Schizosaccharomyces pombe: one gene and its partners. Changing the gene in region 1 together with any one later gene gives a genetic interaction. Each region holds a gene or a part of one and is shown in the gene's direction. Other genes may lie near its edges. The genes, in order: amo1, pph3 and syj2.

What was found.
Region 2: mutations in amo1 (region 1) and pph3 together harm fitness more than expected from each alone (negative genetic interaction), as found in Schizosaccharomyces pombe (one large-scale study listed by BioGRID).
Region 3: mutations in amo1 (region 1) and syj2 together harm fitness more than expected from each alone (negative genetic interaction), as found in Schizosaccharomyces pombe (one large-scale study listed by BioGRID).

What each region holds. Positions count from the first base shown.
Region 1 is NC_003423.3:3,028,274-3,032,031, reverse strand, and holds amo1 (nuclear rim protein Amo1), read left to right. Parts: upstream 1-1,806; 5' UTR 1,807-1,839; coding exon 1,840-3,094; exon of another isoform or gene 3,095-3,154; coding exon 3,155-3,327; 3' UTR 3,328-3,347; downstream 3,348-3,758. Other genes in the region: protein mug98, read left to right, coding at 1-282; SPOM_SPBC15D4.11C (Mam33 family protein), read left to right, coding at 691-977, 1,119-1,272, 1,311-1,661. UniProt on the Schizosaccharomyces pombe protein: Involved in the cell polarity process where it is required for the correct termination of microtubule growth at the cell ends during interphase.
Region 2 is NC_003423.3:3,954,363-3,958,120, reverse strand, and holds pph3 (serine/threonine protein phosphatase), read left to right. Parts: upstream 1-2,034; 5' UTR 2,035-2,191; coding exon 2,192-2,261; exon of another isoform or gene 2,262-2,376; coding exon 2,377-2,831; exon of another isoform or gene 2,832-2,865; intron 2,866-2,884; coding exon 2,885-3,406; 3' UTR 3,407-3,569; downstream 3,570-3,758. Other genes in the region: CIA machinery monothiol glutaredoxin Grx4, read right to left, coding at 1-617.
Region 3 is NC_003423.3:773,792-777,549, forward strand, and holds the start of syj2 (inositol-1,4,5-trisphosphate 5-phosphatase 2), read left to right. Parts: upstream 1-1,929; 5' UTR 1,930-1,981; coding exon 1,982-3,758. Other genes in the region: dph6 (endoribonuclease), read left to right, coding at 1-694, 790-1,604.

The sequences.
Region 1 (3,758 bases):
CTCCGAAAAGAACTTCCTTTGAAAGTTCGAGCAAATACTTCTCGCATGAACCCCGGAGCTAAAACTTGGATTCCACAAATTAATCACCGAAAAAGTAGAAATCATTATAATCGTAAAGAAACATGCCAGTTTCCCCCTCTATACAATGTTGAAGCTAAAATAAACCATTCATATTCTGCGTTTTATCGTCCGTTTACCAAACGTGAGAATGGTTTGTGGTATGCGAATCCGTATTATATGCAGCATGGTCCAAACGGAAATTACCATCACGTTTATTATTAGTCATGTTTTCAAAATTTTGTGCCAATTTTTTCAATTTCATTCAAAAACCGCATCTTCATCATTATGGTTATAATCGACGCCGTTAAAAAACCAGGAAAAAGAATTTCATAGTCTTAATTTCTTTATTTTTTTCTTTAATCAGATGTCTACAATAATGATTTTTCCATTAATTATTTTCTTCATCCATTGCTATGGTATACAAGCACTTTAGTGAAAACCGCTGTATTACTTTAAAGTCACTGCTTTGCGTACTTCTCATAAGGAAGCAAATTCAGTTAAAGTGCTTATTGTCATATGCCCCATTGCATTAAATATTTATAATCTGTACAATTCATCAATCCATTGAAGAAGCAAATCTTTGTTGGACGGCTTGTAACAATTCTATTCTTCAGCTTATTGCACTTCAAAATGCTCAGAAAAGCGATCTCTACAGCACGAAACTTTAAATATCCTTTATTTAATTGCGAAAGGAGGTTTTCTTACTTTGATATGTTTCGTAGTAAACGAAAATTTACAAGTGGTATCCTAACGGAGCAACTAGCGTTGAAATTAGATTCTGAACTGGGTTACGTGAAACAGGTTCTTGATGAGACATTACCTAAAAAAGGATACGAAAAGGCTCTTCATTCTTTTATAATCCATGAAGATCCTTCGCTTAACTACATTTCAGCTTTAAAAGAAACGGCAAAGGAAAGGTAAGCTATTTTTCCTCAATTGTTTGTTGAATTCAACGATGTGATTTCATGTCTATGCGTTGGCTAATATACAACGTTTAAGATTATGCTTTCAGCAGAGCCTTTAAATTTCTTTCGATATAATAGTACTAACGTAGCTAGAATACGCGTTACTGTTCCCGTATATAGCTCTCGTAAAAGTTACGTCCAAACAAAGCCGATAACGCATAGTGCTGAAAATGAAAATGGTAACGAAACATCTGATGAACTAGTGTTCTTTCAGCATTCAATTCCTGCTTATGTCCAACTCACTAACGTAAGATCTTAACATGTTATTATAACTTACAATTATAGAACCATGGCACAATTTTGTGTGCTTTAATACTTTGTAAGGGCATGCTTCATTTTGATAGCATTTCTTTTCAATCACCTCAAAACTCTCAAGCGTTCTCATCTGACTTGAGGTTAATTTTACAAAAATCACAGAAGTACACTGGCAGAAAAACAAAGCACGTTCCAGCTTCTATCAAGTCAAGTTTACTTGAATTCTTGGATGAACAAGGAATTACAGTAAAATTCATGAAGGCGCTAATATCTCGCAGTTGGCGAAAAGAAAATGTCTCCTATAAGCATTGGATTCATAATATTATTGGATTTATTTTACCTTCTGAATCATCAACAACTAAAAAATCAGACTCCCAATGATGGTATAATTGTTCTTTGAATTCCTTTACTTTATGATTAATTGGAGCAATAACGCTACACCACACTACGATTCCAAATGGGACGCCCACTCTAAAAATAAGAAAATTTGGAGTATAACATATGATTATGATACATTTTTATACTTATCTTTAGCATATCATTTCAACTATTCAACAACATGGTCGTTTGTAAGTATTTCCTTCAAAATCGGTGCAGGTATGGTACCAATTGTAAAAATCAACATACGGTACCTTCTAATGGACAAAATGCATTTTCTAAGGTTAATGTCTTTCGTCCAGAGAATGGACGACCTCCAATATGGGTACAAAGGCGTTTGAAGAGAAGCGATTTAGATAATTTGCTTCCCAATAGAAGAATGAAGGATATTAACGACGATCTTAAAAACGCAAAACCACAATGGCCTTTTACAGGTTATTCAGTAGTTGAGAATCTACCATCAATTTATGAAGGCGATGTTTCGCCTGAAGAATTGCGGTGGTGGGCATATCAGGCTAAAGCGACAAACAATATGCAAGCATATGAACAACGCCAGAAACAGTTGATGGATGATGTAGAAGCAAAAGCAGCAGCCGTTAAACGGTCGCCTGCTGCTGCTTTCGATGAAATGAGAAATAAACTCGTCGGAAAGACAAATTATAAGTCAATTTTTGATAAGTCTACTAGCAATTCAACGGTTACGTCTAATCAGTTCAACAAGCCAACTCAAAATAGTCCTTTCAATTCTTTTTCAAATAACAATAATTCTTTCAATAACAATCAGCAAGCAAACGATATTTTTGGCGCCCCTACGACTTCTGCATTTACATCGCAATTAAATGCGTCTCCATTTTCTCAAAATACATCCTCAAATTCATTTACGGGAAGTAATCCAGTCCAAAACAACCCATCTTCTTTTGGTTCGTCTAGTTTTGGTTCGGCAACCTCAGGGCCATCAGCATTTGGGGGAATATCTCAGCCAAATTCGTCATTTGTTAATTCCGGACAAGGGATTCCTAACTCATCATTCTCCTCGTTTTCACAAGTTGCTTCTGGGTTTTCACAAAGTCAAAATGTGAATGATCCAAGTTCGATTTTCGGTCCTACTGTTGCCAGCGGTTTTGGAATACAGAATCAGCCTCAGCAATCAGCTTTTCAAAATTTGAATACTCAATTCTCGCTTCCTAATAATTCACAACCAGTTTTTGGTCATACATCTTTAACACAACCAGTGAACCCAAATGGTTTTACTGTTCAGCCCCCTGCTACTTTTATGCAACAACCTCAAGGCCCTTTTGTTCCGCCTAATACTACTTTTGAATCTCCATTTGCCAATGTAACCTCTAAAATATCCGCTTCAGGATTTTCTAACGATAATCCTGCTAACAAAAATATAATCCAAACTCCTATGTTTGGATCTTCTAACACAATTGACGGTAAGTTTTTTTACTTTGTATCCTTGCTAGTATACGAATATGACTAACGATCATCGACAGGTCCGATTAATCCAATAGGTGCTTCTTCTATCCAAACTTTGGATGATCAAGTAGAAATGAGTAATTCCAATCAAAATCTCGCATTTCCCCCAGAAATGATTCAGCAATTTGAAGCTCAAGATTTCATTCCCGGAAAAGTTCCAACAACAGCCCCTCCACCACAATTTTGTTAATTATTTTATTAAAATAGTTATTCAACGTAAGTTTTTTCGGGGATTTTTGATTAGTATTAAACTTTGTTCAAATTTCATATTCGATATTAGGTTGTAAATATATATATATATATATATATGTAATTTCAATTACGAGTATTAGACAAAGTGTGATGCTTTCCTACACGGCTATCTGATAAAGTTGTACCTAACTCGATTTATGTATCATTGTAAAATTCTAGAAAGAAAACAGTACTATTTTTTGTTATTAATTCATGAATCAAACTGATAGCTGATTTGATATAGAGGACAGAACTGTCCTGCACGCCTATTGGGTCTAAAGAGATGGTTGTCCCAATTCCACACACAATTCACTCCAGATTTTTGCAAGAACCCAAAACTTTTGTTTATGGCTATTTATATATAAATCTCAATTTTATTTAATTCTTTAA
Region 2 (3,758 bases), 930 kb from region 1:
ACTTTAAGACCTTGGCGTACAGAATCATCAGCCAATATGTTAAAAAATCCATACTGAACGTTTTGCTCACGAAGTAATCCAACGAGCTTACGACTAAAACCACATGCAGGTTCTGAAGGAGTACCCTTTAAAAAGAGCATAACATTGTGAGCATTTGTTAGCGTGCTCAACCTTTCATTTAGTTCAGAATCCAACCCATTTGGAGCTTTAGAGGTATTGGAAGTAGTGTTGGTAGTCTGAACGGAATTTACTTGAGTTTCCACGGACGCGTTGGTAGAGGATATTTGGGAGATAAGGGGTTGAATATACTCGTCAATAGCAGCCTTCAATTTTTGAGGATTTGCCCCCGAAATTCTAGCCAAAACTTTTGCTCCGTGGATTAAAACAAATAGAGGAACAGCGTTTACATCAAACGACTCTGCTATATCGGAAAATTTTTCAGCTTCAATTTTTAAGAAAACGGCATTTTTCGTGTCCTTTGCAAATTGATCAAAGACTTGGTTCATTTGCTTGCATGGAGCAGCCCATGGTGCATAAAAATTGAGTAAAATTATTTGCTCTTTTCCATTTTGCAATATCTCTTGAAATTGTTCAACAAAAGTAATTTCGACGCTCATTTCCAATCAAAATAGCACAGCTTGAGGAATTATTTCTTTTCCTACTTTTTTTTTCAAAAACCTAGTTTATTCTTTTTAATCAACAATCAACGCCCTATTTTTTCCTAGTTGGTTGTCGGCAGGTTCGGCTGAGCAGTGTAGAAAACGTATCTAGTAAAATCTCTTCCTTGCACAATAGGCGACGCAAATGATATAATTGCAGCAAAAAACATATCCAAGTAAATTACTCGAAATTTTTTAGTTAAACCACTTTTGATGTACGTTTTGATGATTCTTCTTCACTTTTTTCATTGTCTATTCATTAAACGGCATTCTCGATCTCATTTTTTTAATTACCATCGTGACTGATCAGATAACTTTATCCCTCGGTATTAAAACGTCTGGAAAATAATTTTTTCGGCAAAAAAAACTAGTGTGTTGCGCTTATACTCCGATTCTACGTAATACCCAAACAATTCTGTTAACATTTTATTTTTGTATGTTGTACATAAAATTAACAGTCGCTTTACTAGCCAAATGAGTTTATAACAAGCGACCAAAACAACCAAGATGAGATATGTTTCATACTTGATAAAAACAACAGCATACACATTGATTGATATAGTTAAAGTATTAAAAAATTGCATTGTACTGCTCAGGGCAAGCATTTCTTACACACCTCATTCTTTTGATAGTACGCAAATTGCAGTAAACCATATTGAAAGATAGAAAGAATATATTTCTAAAATCTTTTTAGTTATTTGAACATCTTGAGTTGCCGACTGAACATAAGTAAAGAATAGTATGCAAATTATGTTAAAGCTTCACATAAATTATGGGTTTGCAACACGAATTGACTATACAGTTTTTCTATATTGAGTGTATATTCCGCCACAGGGGTACGCCTTCAGCATACAGATTATTTTACCTATAATTGTGAGTGTTATCTGATTTTTACCAAGAAGCTATAGTGTTATGTAGTTTATTTCACAAAAACCCTATAACATCAAAGCTGCGCATTTGTGCGAACAATTTAGATCCGTTAGAACTATAGGAGTTTTTCTTATAATCTAGATATATATATGAGTAGGTGCACGTTCTTGTATTAGCGTTATAAAAACTCAAGATCAATGATAATACGGCATGCTATAATAATCATACTGGAGTAGCATGCAACTTAATTAAAAGATTCTAGTTCATCATTAATTTTAAGTATAAATGATTAAAAAAAAACAATCTAATACAAAAACTTGTGTCCATTTCATTTCGAGATGAAAGCACTAATAATGGTGGAGCAACCGTATTTTTCTGAAAAACAATCTAGCGTAACGCAACGTATGTGTCAATAAAATTCGGAAGCTGCTAATTAAGGAGGTCATGTTAATTATTTTAAAAGTCATTATCAAAAGGAAAACCGAATTTTAGTCACCAAAGCTCTACGCGTCATACCTCTTGACAGAGGTATTTTGACTTATTTAAAATTAAATTTCTTAAATGATACATAAAGTTGAAAAAGAATTTCACTTGTTTATTTTCTTATTCTAAAGGACCAAGTTATTCTAGTTTTCTTTACTTTATGTTTTGACGAGTTCAAAATGACTGATTTAGATTTGGATTGGCAACTTGAGGAACTGGAGAACGGAAGGTTAATTCCAGAATCAAATGGTATGTATAATAGTATTTATAGAATAACTTTTATCTCCGTCGATATAACAACGATCATTCATATTGGTTGTTCTTTGCCATAATTATAAGAATGGGGTCTAACGTTTTGTGGTAGTTGTTGAACTTTGTCAGCGTGTAAGAGATATTTTAATTGAGGAATCTAACATACAATGGATCTCATCTCCTGTAACCATTTGTGGTGATATCCATGGCCAATTGCATGATTTACTGGAGCTTTTTCGAATTGGTGGGTCATGTCCAGGTACAAAATATTTATTTCTAGGGGATTTTGTTGATAGAGGGTTTTACTCTGTAGAAACATTTCTCCTGTTATTGACTTTAAAATGTAAATATCCGAAAGAGATGACCCTTATCCGGGGAAATCATGAATCACGACAAATAACACAAGTTTATGGATTTTATGACGAATGTGTAAGGAAATATGGTTCTGCCAATGTATGGCGATATTGTTGTGAAATATTTGATTATCTTTCGCTTGGTGCTTTGGTGGATGGAAAGGTTTTTTGTGTGCACGGTGGACTTTCACCAAGCATCAGCAGTATCGATCAGGTATGTTATTAATTCCGAAAATTTGAACTAAACTTTTAACGCTTTTTATGAAGATTCGACTGTTGGATCGAAAACAAGAAGTTCCGCATGAAGGAGCAATGTGTGATCTACTTTGGTCAGATCCAGAAGATATTAGTGGATGGGGTTTATCTCCCAGAGGTGCTGGATTTTTGTTTGGTGCCGACGTTTCTGAAGTTTTTAATCGCGCTAATGACCTTTCATTCATTGCTCGTGCTCATCAATTGGTTATGGAGGGTTACAAAATCCATTTTTCCGATAAAGATAAACAGTATCCCAAATTTACAAATGAAGAGGACTCTGAGCTGGATTCAGATTCTGCCTCACCTGTTGATGATTCTCCGGCACCTGGAGACATAATAACCATTCCAGAAAAGGATAAAGGAAGCGTGGTTACTGTTTGGAGTGCACCCAATTACTGTTACAGATGTGGAAATGTTGCTTCTATATTACAACTTGATGAAAACCAAACGCAATCCTTTAAGATTTTTGGTACTGCCTCTCAAGAAAGATCTGGCATTCCAACAAAACGACCCATTGCCGACTACTTTTTATGATTATTCAAAATTCATTGCTCTACTTCACTTCCCCAATATCATGTATATAGGTCAACTTGTACTAAAGATTATCCCCTTAACTCTTCTTATTGGTCTCTCATTTTTAATTCTGCACTTATTTAATTCTTGTTTATGGAATTTGGTTATTTTAGCAATATTGATTTGTTTAGGACATCATAAATTTAAAAAGTAATTAAGTTAAATTTTAATTGTAACTTTTTTAAGCTAACTTTCAACGCACAAGATTGTTTAGTCGCTTTCTGAAGGTAATTTAAAGTAGATTGCAAAATGCTCGGTTTTCAAACATTAATCCTCATTTGATCGAACTTCAAACCTGAATTCAGAAACTGGG
Region 3 (3,758 bases), 2.3 Mb from region 1:
CCAGATCTCGAAGCCGTTTCTACCGGCGCTATACTTTCCACATATCAACGGACTCGAGTAGAAAATGTTTGCAAACGGTTAGGTTTGAAAAGCTTGTCTTTTCTTTGGCAAAAAGATCAGGAAAAATTACTCAACGATATGGTTGTTTCTGGTTTGAATGCCATCTTGATCAAAGTAGCTGCAATTGGCCTTACGAGGAAGGATTTGGGGAAATCTCTAGCTGAAATGCAAGATAAACTTCTTACCCTAAATAAAAAATTCGAACTGCATCCTTGCGGTGAAGGAGGTGAATACGAAACATTGGTTTTAGATTGCCCATTGTTCAAGAAGCGAATTGTTTTGACTGATAAAGAGGTTGTTGAGCATTCTTCTGGGGAAGTCTGTTATTTGAAAGTTAAGGCCTGTGTTAAAGATAAGCCTGAATGGCAACCTATCTCGCTGAAAAGTGAATTAGTTCCAAATGAAGAATTACTTGGGGAAGAATATTCACATATTTATCATACTATATCTAAAAAATACGAACTTATTGACGATCAAGAGGAGACGCCTACTTCTCTTATCCCAATTCCTCTTCGTGAAAGCGCCTTTCAGCAAAAAAAGGGCTCATTTTTAGTATTGGGTAATGTGGTTGCTACCAAAGGATCTTATAACACGTTTCAAGGTGAAGCTGAATCTGCTATAAACAACTTAAATGGTAAGTTACATATTGATTGTCTTCGTTAATCATATTCTTGATTCGGCTATGCCACCGAACATTTCCTTTAAACCGCTAGAATACTAACTTCCTAGAACTGCTTGGTACATATGGATATTCTAACAAAAATGTTTACTTTGTAACCGTCATTTTATCTTCCATGTCTAAGTTTGCAGAATTTAACTCTGTTTACAATAAATATTTTGATTTCACGAACCCACCTTCCCGGTCTTGCGTCGCAGCTCCTCTAGCTAGTGAGTATAGGATAGTCATGTCCTGTATTGTTGGAGATGTAACCGAGAAAAGAGCGCTTCATGTTCAAGGGCAAAGTTATTGGGCGCCAGCCAACATTGGTCCATATTCGCAGTCGATCTGTGCAAATGGTGTTGTTTTCATTTCTGGACAAATTGGTTTAATACCATCAGTTATGGAGTTAAAACTTCATGACAAAATATTTGAGATGGTACTGGCTCTTCAACACGCAAATCGTGTTGCAAAAGCAATGCGAGTAGGTTCACTCATAGCATGCTTGGCATATGTTTGTGATTCTCGTGATGCGGATTGTGTTGTTAAAATTTGGTCAGAATATACAAAAAATACTGGGGAGTCAAGTCCTGTTTTGGTTGCGTTGGTTGATGCCTTACCAAGGAATGCCTCAGTAGAATGGCAATTGCTTTACAATGATAGCTCTTGTGATGTTCCACTTCTAAGTTCACTCGTTACAAATCAAACGCTTTTTGGTTCTGATACAGCATGGGATGTCGCCTTATTGAACCAAAATGGTTTACGAATGGAGTCCTCCTTTATTCATCATGAACATCCTTCCGCATATGCTATCGTATTGAACAATGCATTTCCAAATTCTCAGTTATTACACGTGCGTTATACAGCTAGAGATCAAAATGTATAACTTAATGTACATAGGAATTAGATTGTAATGAAATGGTCGAACTTAGCTTTTACACAACTTTTTTTACTGTTTTCATATATACAGGCCAAATTAAAACGCTAAAAAGCGTATTTCTTACGCATATATATTCGGTAGTTTGGCAATTTGTATAATATAATTGATGATAACAAGCTGAAGTTTATCAGGTTTTCAACCAATACGATTAAATAAATATTTTCAGGACATTCCTTTTGTTTCAACGCTTAAATTTAACTTTTTCACTGGAAATCTACAATACTTGCTAGCTATGTGTATCTCCTTACTGCGTCAGTATATCTACGTATTTAGTGTCTACCATCCACGCAAAGCAGGAAATAAGCATATATTTATTTCCTGCCATGCAGTGCTATCTCAAACGAAAAGAAAGATCTGTTGCATTTATTACAGAGAAATATGCGGCAATTATTCAAAAACCGTCTGTTAAGGATTCTGATTGCATAATAACATTCACTTGTATCTCACTTGAAGAATTCGAAAAGATAAAGGAATATGAATTACTTTTTGGAGGAGAGAAGATATTGGGAACCCTTGGGTTGTTTAATTATGTATGTGAGGATATGAAAGAAGGCGTTTTCCTATGCGTTGCCCGGAAAGCAAAACTAGTGCTTCGAATTGGTAATAGAGACCCAATTTCGAAACTTGAAAATGTCTCCTTCATCTCTTTAGATCAGGAATTATGGGATGAAGAGTTGTTCGAACCCATGCCTCGTAATAGTTCACCAAGCTCTACTTTTTCGACAAGCACTTCTGACTTGAATAATATTGAAAAAGATAATTTGGTTAATAGCGAATATTCTAGTAAATACTCTTCAACTACTAGGATATATCCATATCATTCCCTTTCTCAATTGACCGATTTGCTCACCGATGGTTCATTTTATGTCTCTACAAATATTTCTTGCTTTTCAAGGTTTCAATCCGAGCAGCCTTATGGTCCCAAAGATATTTATTGTTGGAATAGATTTCTCATAACGGAATTGGATAACCACTTCTCTGAAGCCCATATTTTGGAGAAATTCCCGAACCTGTTGCTCCATTGCTTTCGGGGTTATGTTGAGAGAATGTTCATTGATAGTATGTCTATGAGTATAATCTCCAAGGTATCTAGTTATGGCTCTCGGCAAACATACCCTCCCTCTGGTATTGATGATTCGTCTTATTGTTCTATGTTTGTGGAGACAGAATTTATTGTCGAGATCGCACAAACGGTCTTTAGCTTCGTACAAGTTCGAGGGACAGTCCCATGTTTCTGGGAGGAACAATTCTCTTCTTGGTATGGACCCTCTATTTCTTTTTTGAGATCTTCGCAGGCAAGTCAAAGTCTATTTAATTTTCACTTTAGTAAGCTATACAAAGCTTATGGTGATATATATGTAATCGATCTTTTACAAACAAAAGGCTTTGAAGCTTCGCTATATGAAGCTTACAAGCATCACCTTATGCTTCTACCTTTTCCTGCCGTTGTCAAGAAATTCCACTTTACACCTGATCCTGCTCGTCCTGACATTGATCCACGATTAGAGACCGATTTGGCCGACGATTTAAAAGAGATGGGCTATACTCAAAAGTCTATTGAAAATGACATGTTGGAATCTTTCCAAAAAGGAGTGTTTCGGATTAATGATTTGGATTGTCTGGGACGCACAAACGTTATTCAGTATCAAATATCTCGATTAGTATTAAAGGATATATTTTTTAACCTTCAAATAGGAGTAACTTTCAATATTCTTGAATACCTAAGACATCTCTGGTCTAATAACGGTGATGCTATTGCGAAACTAATTACAGGGGTTGGCTCCATTGGTTCAAGCGCTACCCGTAGAGGTCGTAAATCTATTGCGGGATCTTTAAGTGATATATCCAAATCTTTTGGCCGCATGTATGTTGGAAGATATCCAGACGTAGAATCTCAAAATGCCATTTTATTGCTGTTGGGATGTTTTCCGAATCAAAGTCCCGTACTCATATCTGAATCCGTGTCTTCTTACATCCAAGGTGTGCTAAGACAACGTCGTTCTGAATATAGAGTCGAAAGGGATTTTAGCATATTTTCGTCGACATTTAATGCAAATGGTAAAGTACCCAGCACTGATGAATTTAAAAGGCTGTTACTTC